Linked DNA regions of Arabidopsis thaliana. The protein of the gene in region 1 purifies or fractionates together with the protein of each later gene. This does not show direct contact. Each region holds a gene or a part of one and is shown in the gene's direction. Other genes may lie near its edges.

Region 1 (8,422 bases):
AGTTCTGAAAATGCTCCCAGCTTCATGAAGAGATTTGTGGAGTTTATCACTGGTTAACATTGTTCTTTGTGTGACACGAATAAATTTTGATGTAACCTTTGAATTTGATTTGGTTCTCTATATAATTATGGTTAAGGAATTAAATACAGGAATGACTCGGTTGTGACTATATGAGATTTGTGGTCTAATATTTTATTTTATTTTTTGTTGCTGACAAATAGTAACACAATTTAGTTTCAAATACGTTTTATGCATATACATGTATCATAACAAACCTCAAATTGTCATTGAATTGGGTTCAAAGGAATAGATGTACAGTTTGACAAAAAAAAAAAGAAAAGGAATAGATGTACAATGTTATTGATCTAATTTGTGGCTATTAGTTATTACAGGCTCAGAATCAAGAAGGTAACGACTGGTGCATGCATATGTATACAAGTACTCACAAGATGGATTGAGGTCGGGTTATTGTCTGGATACATTTGTAATAAGAGTTTTTGGTTATACACCATCGGGTCCACCTCTAGTCTGATTAATATCCAAATATGGAAAGCAATATTGGTTAAGCAACTTGTGATTTTATCATTTTGCTAAAAATAACTAATGATTTGTTAGCAAAAGTAACTTATGATCATATCAAATTTAACCAAACCAGTTCATATCAAGCTGTGTACTTGTCAGGGTTTGATTGGATGAATCAGTGTATACTCATACATATAGTAAACTCACATACATATTACTCTGTTTCTGTTCTTCACTCTCTTTTCCAAAGAAGATGGAATCTGATCTAACCACAGAGCATCATCTACCATTCATCCGAATTCATAAGAACGGCCGAGTCGAGCGGCTTAGCGGCAACGACATCAAACCAACGTCTTTAAACCCACAAAACGATGTCGTTTCGAAAGACGTCATGTACTCATCGGACCACAACCTCTCCGTCCGTATGTTTCTCCCCAACAAATCTAGAAAACTCGACACCGCCGGTAACAAAATACCTCTACTCATCTACTTTCACGGCGGAGCTTACATCATACAATCTCCTTTCTCTCCGGTTTACCATAACTACCTCACGGAGGTTGTTATAACCGCTAACTGCCTAGCCGTGTCGGTTCAGTACCGTCTTGCGCCAGAGCATCCGGTTCCGGCGGCTTACGACGATTCATGGTCTGCGATTCAGTGGATCTTTTCTCATTCTGATGATTGGATTAATGAATACGCTGATTTCGACAGAGTTTTTATCGCCGGAGATAGTGCCGGAGCCAATATATCGCATCACATGGGAATAAGAGCTGGTAAGGAGAAGCTTAGCCCTACAATCAAAGGGATTGTTATGGTGCATCCAGGTTTTTGGGGGAAAGAACCGATCGACGAACACGATGTACAAGACGGAGAAGTCAGAAACAAGATCGCATATATTTGGGAAAATATCGTTAGCCCGAATAGTGTTGATGGAGTGAATGATCCGTGGTTTAATGTTGTTGGATCCGGATCGGATGTTTCCGAGATGGGATGTGAAAAGGTTTTGGTTGCGGTTGCCGGAAAAGATGTGTTTTGGCGGCAAGGATTGGCTTATGCGGCGAAGCTGGAGAAGAGTCAGTGGAAAGGAAGTGTTGAGGTGATTGAGGAAGAAGAGGAAGGACACTGCTTCCATCTCCATAACCATAATTCTCAAAATGCTTCGAAATTGATGCAGAAGTTTTTGGAGTTTATCATAAGTTGAATCTTGATGCTCAAGTATGGTATTAGATGACATAATCCTTTTATATAATCATATTGTTAACTTTAATAATAATTTATGATTTTAATCGTCAAATTTCGGAGAGTTGAACATACAAATAACTTATGATTTTAATCTCTAATTGCTGTGAATTTGTGTATCAAACTCCTGTATATTCGATAAATCATTCGTATAAGATTGTTCGGCCATATCAATAACCGGTTAGGTCCATACACATAGATTTCGAAATTTGCACCTCCGGTTTAAATTTTCGAACCGAACCGCTTTAAAACTCCTCGCGGTCGGATTAAACTATTCGCATCCTTAAGCACAGTCTTTGCCGGAGAAAATATTCCGGTAGCCATGCTCCGGTCATTAACTTGTTCCTCGACCATTACTTCGACCTCTCTCTTCTTCCGCTCTTTCCGCCAGCTCCCTCGCTCTTACTTGTCTCCCTCATCGTCAACGACCGTCGTCGGTGCCTCCGGCCGCAACATTCGCCGGCTTTCTACTCTAGAAGCTGCTGGGAGACGGCTATTTCTACGACGAGGCTTGAAACTACTCTCCGCCGCGAGTCGTGGTCTCAATGGACAGTTCTCTCGCTTATCTATTCGCGCCGTCGCTACACAATCCGCACCTTCTTCTTATCCCGGTGAGATAATCAAACTCTTTAGCTGGAATTGAATCTGTACTCTTTCTCTGTAAAATTTCAAATGTTTCTATTTTCCGAGTAGTTTCTAGATTCAGAGTGTTTCTCGTTGGTGAAATTTGTGTTTAGTTGATGTTACTTTACTCCACAAACACTCTCTTATAGAGAAATTTCCTTGGGCTTTTGATCAAATTGACACTATACCTGCGTTAGGATAAAATGGAACATTTTCTTCTCATATTTGATTTATGTTTTTGGTTAAATAGTGTTCTGATGAGAGTCAAATGTAGGTCAAGATGAGGCTGAGAAGCTTGGATTTGAGAAAGTCTCTGAAGAGTTTATCTCAGAGTGTAAATCTAAGGCTGTTCTCTTCAAACACAAGAAAACTGGTTGCGAGGTGATGTCTGTTTCTAACGATGATGAGAACAAGGTGTTTGGCATTGTTTTCAGGACTCCTCCGTAAGTGTGTTCTAGAACACATGAATCTGTCCTACTAGTTTATCTTTAGTATAGGTGACTTGGAAATTTATGTTCATCTCGGTGATTTCTTAACGGTTTGTAAGAAATTTGTGGTATATGAGGCTTCGTTCTTGGATTATAGTCGAGTGAGTGAAATTGTAGCATATCAAGGTCAAAAATTAGCCAATGTTGAATAGTTTTGCACTTTCAGTTGGAATAGGTACCACGAGCTAGCGAAAATTGTAAGTGGAAGTGGTTGACAGTGGTTTGATAAAAGTTTGGTTCTTGATGCAGGAAGGATTCCACTGGCATTCCTCACATACTGGAACATAGCGTATTATGTGGGTCAAGAAAGTACCCGATGAAAGAACCATTTGTCGAATTATTAAAGGGAAGTTTGCATACTTTCCTAAACGCATTCACATATCCTGATAGGACTTGTTACCCAGTTGCTTCCACAAATAAAAAGGTAATAATATATAAATACTCTTTTCTTCCCCAACCACTGTCATATATTCAAGTTTGGTCTGATCACATTTCATCACTATCTATGCTAGGATTTCTACAATCTTGTCGATGTATACTTGGACGCTGTATTCTTCCCCAAGTGTGTGGATGATGTTCACACTTTTCAGCAGGAGGGTTGGCATTATGAGCTTAACGATCCTTCAGAGGACATATCTTACAAAGGTTCTATTTATTACATATGCCTAGTTTAAAAGCTTGTTTGTTTTTATCTTTCCGTTTGTTGAACCTCTAATCTATTAACTTACTCTCCCTGTCTCTTTTTTGATGTTTCACATATCAGGCGTTGTTTTTAATGAGATGAAAGGTGTCTATTCACAGCCTGATAATATACTAGGGCGGGTTACTCAACAGGCAAGTTTTGATTGTTCCTTAATTTTCTTGAATTATTCGTCCACAATCTATTTCTAAGAATGAATTTCTGTAAATGTTTTGAGTGGATGTGCAGTGTCTAAAAATTTAGCTTTGTTAATTTTTGATGTTTTATAGCTTATCTGATTAAATGTGTGTGTGTGTGTGTGTGTGTATAGAGATATTTATCTTTGCATGTACGCGTCTGCATTTAATAGTTTGTTGGTTTCGTATTAATAATTGAAGTTTCTCACAAAACAATACTTCAACATCTGCTCCTGAAGTCTTTGTTAGATAATCTGCTTTCATTATTCTTTGGTACAGTGTGGTGCTTATGGAACACACTTGTTTTCTCTTCTATTTTCTTTTAATAGGCATTATGTCCAGAAAATACATACGGTGTTGACAGTGGAGGTGATCCAAAAGATATCCCCAAGCTTACGTTCGAGAAATTTAAGGTTTGTTAAGTACGTCATGTGATATAATTAAACGTTGAAATAATATGATATTATCTTGCGACAAAAGCGTAATACTCTGTATGTTATGATCTCCGATGCATATTTATTGTTCTTCATGTGAAAAATTCCAGGAGTTCCACCGTCAGTATTATCACCCTAGCAATGCCAGGATATGGTTCTATGGAGATGACGATCCAGTTCACCGCCTTCGCGTCTTGAGTGGTAAAGAGCCATATCTTAAATTGTACTTTCTGTTGGGGCATTTCCTTTTCTTGATCTATGTTCGCCATTATGTTATTGTTTTACAGATTTTGTCTCTATTTTACTAATTTGTGCAGAATACTTGGACATGTTTGATGCAAGTCCAGCTCGAGATAGTTCAAAGGTTGAACCACAAAAGCTTTTCTCTAGACCTCGTAGGATTGTTGAAAAATACCCTGCTGGTGAAGATGGTGACCTTAAGAAGAAGCATATGGTGTGCCTTAACTGGCTTCTCTCTGACAAGCCACTGGACTTACAAACTCAACTCGCACTTGGGTTTTTGGATCATCTAATGCTTGGGACTCCTGCCTCCCCATTGAGAAAAATCTTATTGGAAAGCGGTTTAGGAGAAGCTCTTGTTAATAGTGGGATGGAAGATGAACTTCTCCAGCCCCAATTCAGTATAGGTTTGAAAGGTGTTTCCGATGATAATGTCCAAAAAGTTGAAGAGTTGGTCATGAATACTCTGAGAAAGTTGGCAGATGAGGGGTTTGACACTGATGCTGTTGAAGCATCCATGAATACCATTGAGTTTTCTCTGAGAGAAAACAATACAGGGTCGTCCCCTCGTGGTTTATCACTTATGCTTCAATCAATTGTGAGTTTATCTGCCTTTTTCTTTGGTTTGTCTTATCTAATATATTTGTATAGTTTCTTATTTTAGTGTTGGATGTTTAGGCGAAATGGATATACGACATGGATCCTTTTGAGCCATTAAAGTATGAGGAACCATTGAAGTCCCTGAAAGCTAGAATAGCTGAGAAAGGATCCAAGTCTGTCTTTTCTCCGCTGATAGAGGAGTATATTTTGAACAACCCTCATTGTGTTACTATAGAGATGCAGGTATTTTTTGTCTCCGAGTTTCTCATTGCTGTCTAATGTTTCTATAATCTTATGCCCAAAACACGTTTGTCAGCCTGATCCAGAAAAAGCTTCTCTAGAGGAAGCGGAGGAGAAAAGTATTCTAGAAAAAGTTAAAGCAAGTATGACAGAAGAGGATCTTACAGAACTAGCGCGTGCCACAGAGGAGTTGAGATTGAAGCAAGAGACTCCTGACCCTCCTGACGCACTGAAATGCGTTCCAAGTTTAAATTTGAGTGACATTCCAAAAGAACCTATATATGTTCCCACTGAGGTGATGATTATATTAGCTCTCTGCTGTTGTTGGATTCCTTTTAATTTCTCAGCTTGATGCTGATATGGTGCTTTATAGGTTGGAGATATTAATGGCGTGAAGGTGTTGCGGAATGATCTCTTTACAAATAATATACTCTACACTGAAGTAGTCTTTGATATGGGCTCAGTAAAGCATGAGCTTCTTCAACTGATACCCCTCTTCTGGTAACTTGTTGACTTCTACATCTGATGATTTAACCGTAAGACTTTATATTCTGCTTTTGGTTATTCACCTAATTTTTCCAGAAATGCAAATGGTGAAAATATTTAATGAAGAATACTGCTACAAAAAAATTCCAAGCATTCCCTGTTCTCCTGATTGAATCTCTAACCAAATCACAATTTCGGATGTCTGACGTAGTTTTAAGCATTTAGAATAACATATAGCTTGGTTTTTGTCCGAGGGAGTGTCCATGTCTATTTTACTATTCTTGACTTTTACTTAAGTGTTCTCAACAACACTCAGTTGAAATGCTATGTCAAAAGGCAGCTTTCAAGCCTCCTGCTATAGTGTCATGATCTGTTATACTATTTCTTAGTTGCATTTTAGTTATAGCAGTATCAAGGTCGATTTCCAGTTACATACTCTTACTAACATTTGCTTCCAATTTCACTGTCAATTTTCTTAGTAGCTTCATTACACTTTTCTCTTGTCTCACACTAGACATTCGCATGCTATGTTCTTAATCTTCCGTAGATTTGACCAACGATTGTTTCCAGTTGGGGTTTATTACTGAGTATCCTATTCATAATCTTTTCCGTCAGTATAAGCCAGTGGGATACCCTATGCTAAATTCGTTTTAACTTTTAACTCCTATATAATTTCTGTTTTGACAGTCAATCATTACTAGAGATGGGCACGCAAGATTTGACTTTTGTACAACTTAATCAGTTAATTGGAAGAAAGACAGGAGGGATATCAGTTTATCCCCTTACATCCTCTGTGTATGGTAGGGATGATCCATGTAGCAAAATCATTGTGCGTGGAAAATCCATGGTTGGACGCGCTGAAGACCTTTTCAATTTGGTAATTTGCTTTAACTTATCACATTTAGCTGGAGATAACATACGTTGGGATAGTTAATTTAGAGTTTTCTAGCTGACAGATCAGGTTCTGCCTTGGTTCTCAAGATGTAGAGTGCAAGTTTAAACTTTTTGCCTCATGTCCTCTAACTATAGCCTTGTGGATAGCTCTTCTGTCCATCGGTTTATCAGAAAGCAAAACCTGTTTCTTTCATTTGTGTCTGCGTCTATGAAGTATCTCTTCTGTCTCCTGATCTCTTCCCTCTTAACGCAGAAATGCTCACTTTTTACCTCTCCCTATGCTCATGTCATTTGCTGAGCAGTATCTTATACTATATTTGTGTGTTCAAGTTAGAGTACAGAGGTACACTAGCCAATCGTTCGCTATTTGAAAACTGATTCTGTTAATTTTAGAGCTGAATTTTAGTATGAGCATATTCAAGAAATAATCCTAACTTTCGAGTTTAAAGTACAAAAAATGGAGACATAGAAATTAGCTGTAGTTTGAGATTCTTAAAATTCTAGTTAATTTCCTATAGAAGTTGTAGTTTGATTCTTATGTTTCATTCACTTTTGCCTTGCTGCAGATGAACTGTGTGCTGCAAGAGGTTCGATTTACCGATCAACAGCGGTTTAAACAATTCGTTTCTCAGAGTAGAGCACGAATGGAGGTATGCAGTTCCTTCTTCCTTTTGCATTCTTAATAGAAAACGGTGGTAGTAATATAACACCAACTCGTATTCATTTTAGAACCGATTGAGGGGAAGTGGTCAAGGAATTGCTGCTGCGAGGATGGATGCAATGTTGAACGTTGCTGGATGGATGTCTGAACAGATGGGTGGTCTCAGGTTGGAACTTGATCACTCTTTCTTTCATTGTTAGTTTTTACCATTTGTTTTGACCTCTTGATTTGATTGCATCTGTGGGAGAAGAAACTTAATTCATATTCTTAGTTTGATCTTATACTTATAGAGCCTAATAGAGTTTTGCTTTGATCTTTGTTGTAGTTACCTTGAATTTCTACACACTCTTGAACAGAAGGTGGATCAAGACTGGGAAGGAATTTCATCCTCACTTGAGGAAATCAGAAGATCTTTCCTTTCCAGGAATGGTTGCATAGTTAATATGACTGCTGATGGGAAGTCCCTCACAAACACGGAAAAATATGTTGGAAAATTTCTTGATTTACTCCCTGAAAATCCGTCTGGTGAACTCGTCACTTGGGATGCTCGACTTCCTTTGAGAAATGAAGCTATAGTAATACCAACCCAGGTAAATAAAATGAAAACCCTTCTATATATTTTGTGTCCTTTGGCGTGTATTTCTCTTCACCCGTCTTCTACTTACTCCACAATTCTATTCTTGCCTTTTTGACAGGTGAACTATGTGGGAAAAGCGGGAAATATATACAGCAGTGGCTACAAACTTGATGGGAGTTCATATGTTATATCAAAGCATATTAGTAACACATGGTTATGGGATCGTGTTCGTGTAAGTGGTGGTGCATATGGAGGTTCCTGTGATTTTGATTCACATTCGGGTAAACTGTTTTTCTTTTCCATTTTGATTTTGATCTGACAGAGTCTTCCCCAAGTTGCAAATTCTGCGTCAGACCTGACCTTTGGATTTTCTCTTGCACAGGAGTATTTTCGTTCTTATCTTACCGTGATCCCAACCTATTAAAGACTCTAGACATATATGATGGAACTGGGGATTTCTTACGTGGCCTCGATGTCGATGAAGACACCCTTACCAAAGCAATTATTGGGACAATTGGCGATGTCGATTCATACCAACTCC
Region 2 (6,668 bases), on another chromosome or scaffold:
TTTATTGTTTTGATATATTTATATATATAAATAAAAATACTAATTCATAATTTTGAATTGATAAACATTTATTTAACATATAATATGTAAATTTACTATGTTAGCTTGTTAAACAAATAATTATATATTTATTTTCAAATATTAAAGTTATTTTTTATCGATGGTATTTTTGTAATTAATCTAAAAAGAAGGATTTTTTGGTTTATAATTTATTTTTCTTTCTTATTAACTTAAATAACAAATTTGTACGTACACATTCTTATTTTTTTGTTCATCCATATATATATTTTGAACTCACCCTTGTTTTTAAGTAATGTAAAATGGAGTTGAAAAAATGAATAACTGTTTATAAATTTTCATCTTAAATGATTTTTTTTTTTACTTTTCAAATTATACCTTTAGGAACCCAACCATTTGCACCCTAATATCATATGAATATTGACAACAAAGACTACATGAATTTAAAATTTTCAACTTGCAGAATTGTAAAGATGAGAATTTGCACTCGTTAATGACGTTCCTTTCTTTTTGAATCTTATTTTGTTAATTCTTTTTTTTCTATCTTTGATTTTTTGTATCTAAAAAATCTCTAAACGAAAACGTTGCATCTGATGTACCATAGTTTTTTCGAGTAAATTTTAAATTTTATTAAAAAAAAAATGAGAATTATTAGATAAACAAAGGTTCCGTGATATAAACCCAATTAATAAAAGAAACAACTTAGGCACAATATATAGCCTAAGAAGCTTTTTTAATTTTTTTTTTTAAAGAAGAAAAGAGAGAGAATTGTTCAATTGATGCGCGACGTCGGATTTGATGAAAAGGAAGTTTTCGACTTGGCGCCTACAACTACTTTTGTAGGCCTGAAAATTCACAGTCTTCCCTCATCAGAACACAATATCTTTCTCCTCCTCTTTTGTCTTCCTTCGCCGTCGATTTTAAGGTTTTATCTTCTCCGTAGTGAAAGCACTGATAATTTCTCCAAGGAATTTACGAGGAGGATTTGGTTTGTTTCTCCTGCGTGTTAGAGTTTTACGATTTCTCTGTCGTTTGATTTCTTAATTCTATCCTCTGAGAGAACGAGAATTTGGTTTTCGTTTTCGAATTTAGGGTTGAAGAAGCGGTTTCGCATTGGGTTTGTTGTCTATTGAGCCAATTTGCTAAAGGAATTGAAACGTTGCGAGTTTTTGTTTCCCGGAGGTCCGAAGTGCGAATCTGTTTTGTTTAATGAAATTAGGGGTTTGGAATCGGAATTTGAATAGTCGTTTATGTTGACTACGCGATAATAGCTGAGATAGGACATGATTTTGAAACGGATTTTGACGACATTCGATAATCTGAATCTGAAGCGGTGCAAAATTGATTTAGAAATTGAGTATGGTAGCCAAAAGGGTGAGATTATGGTGTATAAGAAGAGACAACGAGCAAGCGTTGATCAACCATGTAGCAGAGAACCCGGAGTTCTAACAAGTAGCTCAAGCTCCTTGACCAGTAGAGAAGAATCTCAACAAGTGTGCTCTGACCAGTCCAAGTCTTCGCGTGGCAGAGTTCGAGCGGTTCCTTCAAGGTTCAGGGACTCCATTGTTGGTACATGGAAATCCTTGAAGAGTCGCAAGGAAGAGTCGACGGAGACATGTATCTGGGGAAGCTCGAAATTGCATCGAAGCAAAGACCCGAAGCTGTTTCCACGTAAGGATAACGAAGACAGCAGCGAAGTAGATTGCGATTACTGGGATGCTAACTTTGGTATGCCGAAAAAGTCCGACGCCTCGCGTAAGGGCGTGTACAAACCAGAGGAATTTACAGTCGGCGATCTTGTCTGGGCCGGCTGTGGTACAAGCGCCTGATGGGGTCTTGAAACATTGCGTCCCTGGCGCAATACGTGTCATGTTTTTTGGGTACTCTAAATGGAAAAAAATTGTCAATTGTCAAAAAGTCGTGTTAAATATAGATGTATTGTACAGATCTTTGACTTTGAAGTACTTCATTTGCTGATCACAGCCTCATCTTTATCTGTTTTTTTTACACTGTAATTATAGATTGGATGCCGATTGGTGCCTTTGTGCTTGATTCTCGAACTTCACTCCTGACTGAGAGTTTGAGTGGTCGCCTGAAAGTCCCAAAGGAAGGAACCATAGAACGGATGTTACAAAAATGTCTTATTCATGATCTTCAGAAACTTTGTCAACTGCAGGAAAAACTGTAACATATGGCTTATCTCATTTTCCAGATTTACAGCTTGTGCGACCTGTTTGTGACCTCAGTACCTGTGAGGTAAAAGACACTAATCAACTCTAATCTGTTGCTGAAACTTTTGTATTGATCTCTTGCAATAACTAAATTGCAACTAAGAGTGTTTCTGTTTTACTATGTAGGAACAATGCAAACTCTTGATGCTAGGCACATTGAACTCTTCCTTAGTGAAGGCTACAAAGATGGAAGCTGGGACTACAATCTGATTGGATCTCATAAGTTGCAGAAAAACGCAAGTGCAGCTTGTGGAGCCATATTTGACCTCAAACACCATAAAGAATCTTCATCCTCAGGTAACTTCAAATCTTCATTACTGTTATGTTCCTTTACTTCTCCTCTTTGAATCATTCTCCTTTGTCTCATACAAATTTCACATGAAACCTCTATAATAGGTATTCTCAACCTCAAGTCTTGGACCGGACAGCCAGATATTTCCCAACCTAAAGCAGTTATCGCACCCCATGCAGTTGCTGTTCACACAAGATTGCGAGAAAACGAAGGTATATAACTTTGCATCATCAACCATCTTTATCTAGAAAACACAATTACAAATAATTCTCTTGCCAAAAGGAATTGAATCCAAATTTGTTGTTTCAGTTGCGGAAATCCAATCAGTATTGTGGCATTTGCAAGAGAGTATGGCAGCCCTTCAAATGATGGAGATTGGGTGAGAATATATGTGACCATGTTTGGTGAAATACAGACCTGTAAGAAATGATTACATCTATTTAGCTGACTTGATTTGATGTATTAGGTTTATTGTGATGAGTGTGATGTATGGCCGTATGGGTGCGACAATAATTTATATAAGCGCTTTAAGGTACACCTTCATGCATCTTAACTTTTGATTCTAAGTAATGAACACGCTTGTTGAACTATCACACTAATTTGGTTATCATCTTAAGGAACTGGAGCACAACAGTTACTATTGCCCTAACTGTAAAGTCCAGCATGAGCTTATCAATATTAGAAGAACAGAACTCAGTGTTCAAGTATATTGTTAACTTCTCATGTTCTCCTGATTTTATTGTTTGCATTTCTCCATTGCTATAATATGCGAGATTTCCTCACAACCTCTTTGGGATTGGTCTACAGAAAAGGCGACACAGACTGAGCTGCCTGATGAGATTAATGTAGTCTGTAATGGCATGGAAGGAACATATATCAGAGCATTTCATGCGTACGTATTAGATGTCTCAGCCTTATTTCAATTTCTTCATTTAGAAAGGATCTTATTTGTTTATGAATTATGACTATGCAGCACAATATCGTAAATTGATTTTTTCTCTGAAAACGATAAAAAATCCGTGTTTAATCCTAGGTTTCTGTTATCATTGTCTTGTTGTTTTAGAGATTTGACCAACACATTAATCTTTGAACTATTGTTTCAGAATTGAGTGCAAGTGTGGTTCATGTGGGTCAAGGAAGCAGTCACCAAGTGAATGGGAACGGCATACAGGCTGTAGATACTAGATAGCGTAAGAGTGAAAGACACAATGCTACCTCTAGAAAAATGGCTTTGCATGAAGACTTTGATACTATATGTATCTGTATATGTAGAAGAGTATCAGTTTTATCTAAATGACTAGTCTCCAAATTTGTGGTTTATTGATTTCGTCAGAATGGTAGGCTCTTTAACTGATTTAAGGTGAAAACTACATTGGTCTTTGTTCAGTGTTAGATTTGTCTTTTGTGGGTTTGGAATGGATTAAAGAGGAGTCTTTTACTGGATTTTGTTGAATGCTAGATTTGGGTTTAGTAAACAATGAATCCTTTACTGGTTTTGAAGGATGTTATATTTGAAACTGATTAGAGCTAAACCCTCTATTGCTTAGTGGTTCTTAATTTAAGGGTTTTGCCGCAGCTTCCCTAATTTAAGCTTGTTTTCTAATACAAAGTACAAAAGCAGTGTGTTCGTCAACTATCTTCTTACTCTGTTTTCGTTTAGAGAGTTTTTGCAGAGATGAGGAGAACTATAACAATGGTGATAAAGATGTCAATACTTATGATATTGATTTCATCAATGGTGATGAATATGGTCGAGGTTGAGGTTGACCAGATTGAATCATGGGTCAAGGACTTCCAGGTTTCATTCTCTTTTTCACACATTCACACAAGCTTTATGTAAAAGAAGTATATATGAAATCAATATAACCTAACCAAAGAAAATGTTTTCTCTAGGATGGAAAAGCTGCTGTCCACAAAAATTCTCAACCTATTCCAGCTGAGAACAACGAACCAGTGAAGCTTGTTGTCGCCGAGAGCCTTGACGACATAGTTCAGGTCAGCGAGCGGAAACGTTGTAGTATACGAAGGAGACAGGACAAAGGAAGACTTCATAGTTCAGGGTTGGTGATACTAGCAGAAGATGATGAGGAAGAACACGAAAAGATGGATTAGTTAAAGCTTCCAAAAACTGAATCAAAACAATCATTATTACATTAGTTTGTGGTTGTGGATTAGCAATGTTTAAGTAGTTTGATCTATCAATCTCCTGAATTTCTAGATTGCAGATATTTTATCTCATTTTGCTGTCTCACTTGATTCGTGGGTTATATTGCTTAATTTGATTTAAACTCTGTTTTGTGTGGTTACATAGGACTCTGTTTCGCCTGTGTATAGGAAGAGAGTAATGACGTTGAGTGTACAGAGTTGGAGAAGGGTTTCGAGAAAAAATTGTAATTCTTGAATTCGTCTCAGCTTGAGAATAGTGAGTCCATGGACTTTTACCGGATATGAGTTGTACAATGCAGAGACTGATCCCGAACTGAAAGCTGTTATGAGAGGACATGGGAAAAGCCATTGGCTTCGTTTGACCGGAAAGAATTTATGAGTAGTAAGTAGCATATCTAAAGTAAACGCCATGCAAACAAAGAAAACAATGATGAAGATATAAGAGCATCCACATTGGTGGGCTTTTAGCAAATGTTCTTAACAATAATTTTATAATTTATTTTGAAGTTAAGAGTTTTGATAAGAGTTTTTTTTTTTTAAGAGTGTATTTTGTCTCTTATATAAGAGCAAAATCTTAGGCCTGGGCATTTTAACCGAACCGAACCGAACCGACCCGACTCAACCGAACTCAAACCGATCCAAACCAAACCCAATCTAAGACTCAAACAATTCGGTTGTATTTTATCTCAACCCAAATGGGTCGGTTCGGTTCGGTTTTGAACCAAACCGAACCGACAACCCAATGTCTTTATATACTTAATTAATTAATTCTATAAATAATATTACAAATAACTCTAAATATTTATTTATCTCTAACTAAAACTCTAACCCTAAAAAGTAAAAACCTAAGGTTTACTTCTAACTTCGTTTCATTTGTTCTTCCGTCGTCTCTCTCTACTCTCTACAGCCACGGTATGATTTTTAACTACTCTCTAGCAATACAATTACGCTCATCTCAATTTTAGTTAAATATTATGAGTATATGATGATTTTTTCAATCTGTACGTACACCGCAAAGTCATGGAAAAGAAAAATCTGTGTTTGCGTTGTCTTGTTTCTTCTATTTACTTAGATTTTTTAATTTTTAAGAATAGGTTTCATGTAGGTTGGGTGATTTTGTTTGTTTACAATATATATAATATATTTTAGCATTCATACCAATAATCAATGGATTTTCGTGCAAGAAAACAGATCATACATGTTTATTTAGTTTACTAATAATGAAAGATGTTTTAATAGAAACGTAATTGTATTCTTTCAATTGACTAACAATTTTATACATGTTTTGTTTGTAGATGTCTAAAAGAAACACGACTAGCAATAAAAGAAAAGAACCCGAGTCTCCAACAGTGTCGCCAAAGGCAAAAAGAAAACTACCTACAAGATCAACAGCATGGAAAGTCTTTACGAGGTTGAAAGATGATGATAATAGTTGCTCATGCAATTATTGTGGTAAAATCTATTCATGTAATCCTGCTACATGTGGAACCAGCAATATGAACACACACATGAGAAAGTGCAAAGCTTATTTGGATCATCTTGAATCTAATTCTCAGAATGTCATAGTCTCTAGTGGTGGTGGTAATGGTGCTGGCATGATAAAACCTTTTGATCAAAACGTGTGTAGGCAAGCAACGGTGAAAATGATTATCATGGACGAGTTGTCGTTTTCTTTTGTGGAGAATGATGGGTTTAAACATTTTTGTGAGATGGCTGTCCCTTGGTTTACTATTCCATCGCGAAGAACAATTACTAGGGATGTTGTTGGTCTGTACAGAGCTGAAAAAACTGCATTGAAGACTATTTTAAGTCGTAATAGGCAGGCCATGTCGTTTACCACTGACATATGGACTTCTATTACGACATTGAGTTATATGGTCGTTACTGCTCATTTTATTGACATGGATTGGCAATTGCATAGAAGAATTATTAGTTTTAGTCCTATTCCTGATCATAAGGGA

The links. Proteins that work in one complex are often made in the same cells at the same time.
Region 2: the proteins of PREP2 (region 1) and AT3G62510 fractionate together in Arabidopsis thaliana (co-fractionation; one large-scale study listed by BioGRID). This does not show direct contact.

What each region holds. Positions count from the first base shown.
Region 1 is NC_003070.9:18,368,998-18,377,419, reverse strand, and holds the start of PREP2 (presequence protease 2), read left to right. Parts: upstream 1-1,925; 5' UTR 1,926-2,083; coding exon 2,084-2,372; intron 2,373-2,659; coding exon 2,660-2,828; intron 2,829-3,122; coding exon 3,123-3,297; intron 3,298-3,385; coding exon 3,386-3,518; intron 3,519-3,535; exon of another isoform or gene 3,536-3,620; coding exon of another isoform or gene 3,621-3,636; coding exon 3,637-3,707; intron 3,708-4,078; coding exon 4,079-4,162; intron 4,163-4,293; coding exon 4,294-4,384; intron 4,385-4,500; coding exon 4,501-5,021; intron 5,022-5,101; coding exon 5,102-5,266; intron 5,267-5,339; coding exon 5,340-5,558; intron 5,559-5,636; coding exon 5,637-5,764; intron 5,765-6,436; coding exon 6,437-6,626; intron 6,627-7,209; coding exon 7,210-7,293; intron 7,294-7,372; coding exon 7,373-7,470; intron 7,471-7,629; coding exon 7,630-7,894; intron 7,895-7,999; coding exon 8,000-8,162; intron 8,163-8,263; coding exon 8,264-8,422. Other genes in the region: AT1G49650 (alpha/beta-Hydrolases superfamily protein), read left to right, coding at 1-57; AT1G49640 (alpha/beta-Hydrolases superfamily protein), read left to right, coding at 776-1,723. UniProt on the Arabidopsis thaliana protein: ATP-independent protease that degrades both mitochondrial and chloroplastic transit peptides after their cleavage. Also degrades other unstructured peptides. Specific for peptides in the range of 10 to 65 residues.
Region 2 is NC_003074.8:23,119,122-23,125,789, forward strand, and holds AT3G62510 (disulfide isomerase-like protein), read left to right. Parts: upstream 1-3,709; 5' UTR 3,710-3,731; exon of another isoform or gene 3,732-4,067; intron 4,068-4,214; 5' UTR 4,215-4,216; coding exon 4,217-4,339; intron 4,340-4,434; coding exon 4,435-4,653; 3' UTR 4,654-4,670; downstream 4,671-6,668. Other genes in the region: AT3G62499 (YTH family protein), read left to right, coding at 798-1,028; AT3G62500 (F-box protein RMF), read left to right, coding at 1,302-1,833, 2,040-2,156, 2,231-2,263, 2,376-2,546, 2,646-2,753, 2,851-2,920, 3,008-3,073, 3,159-3,245 and 1 more.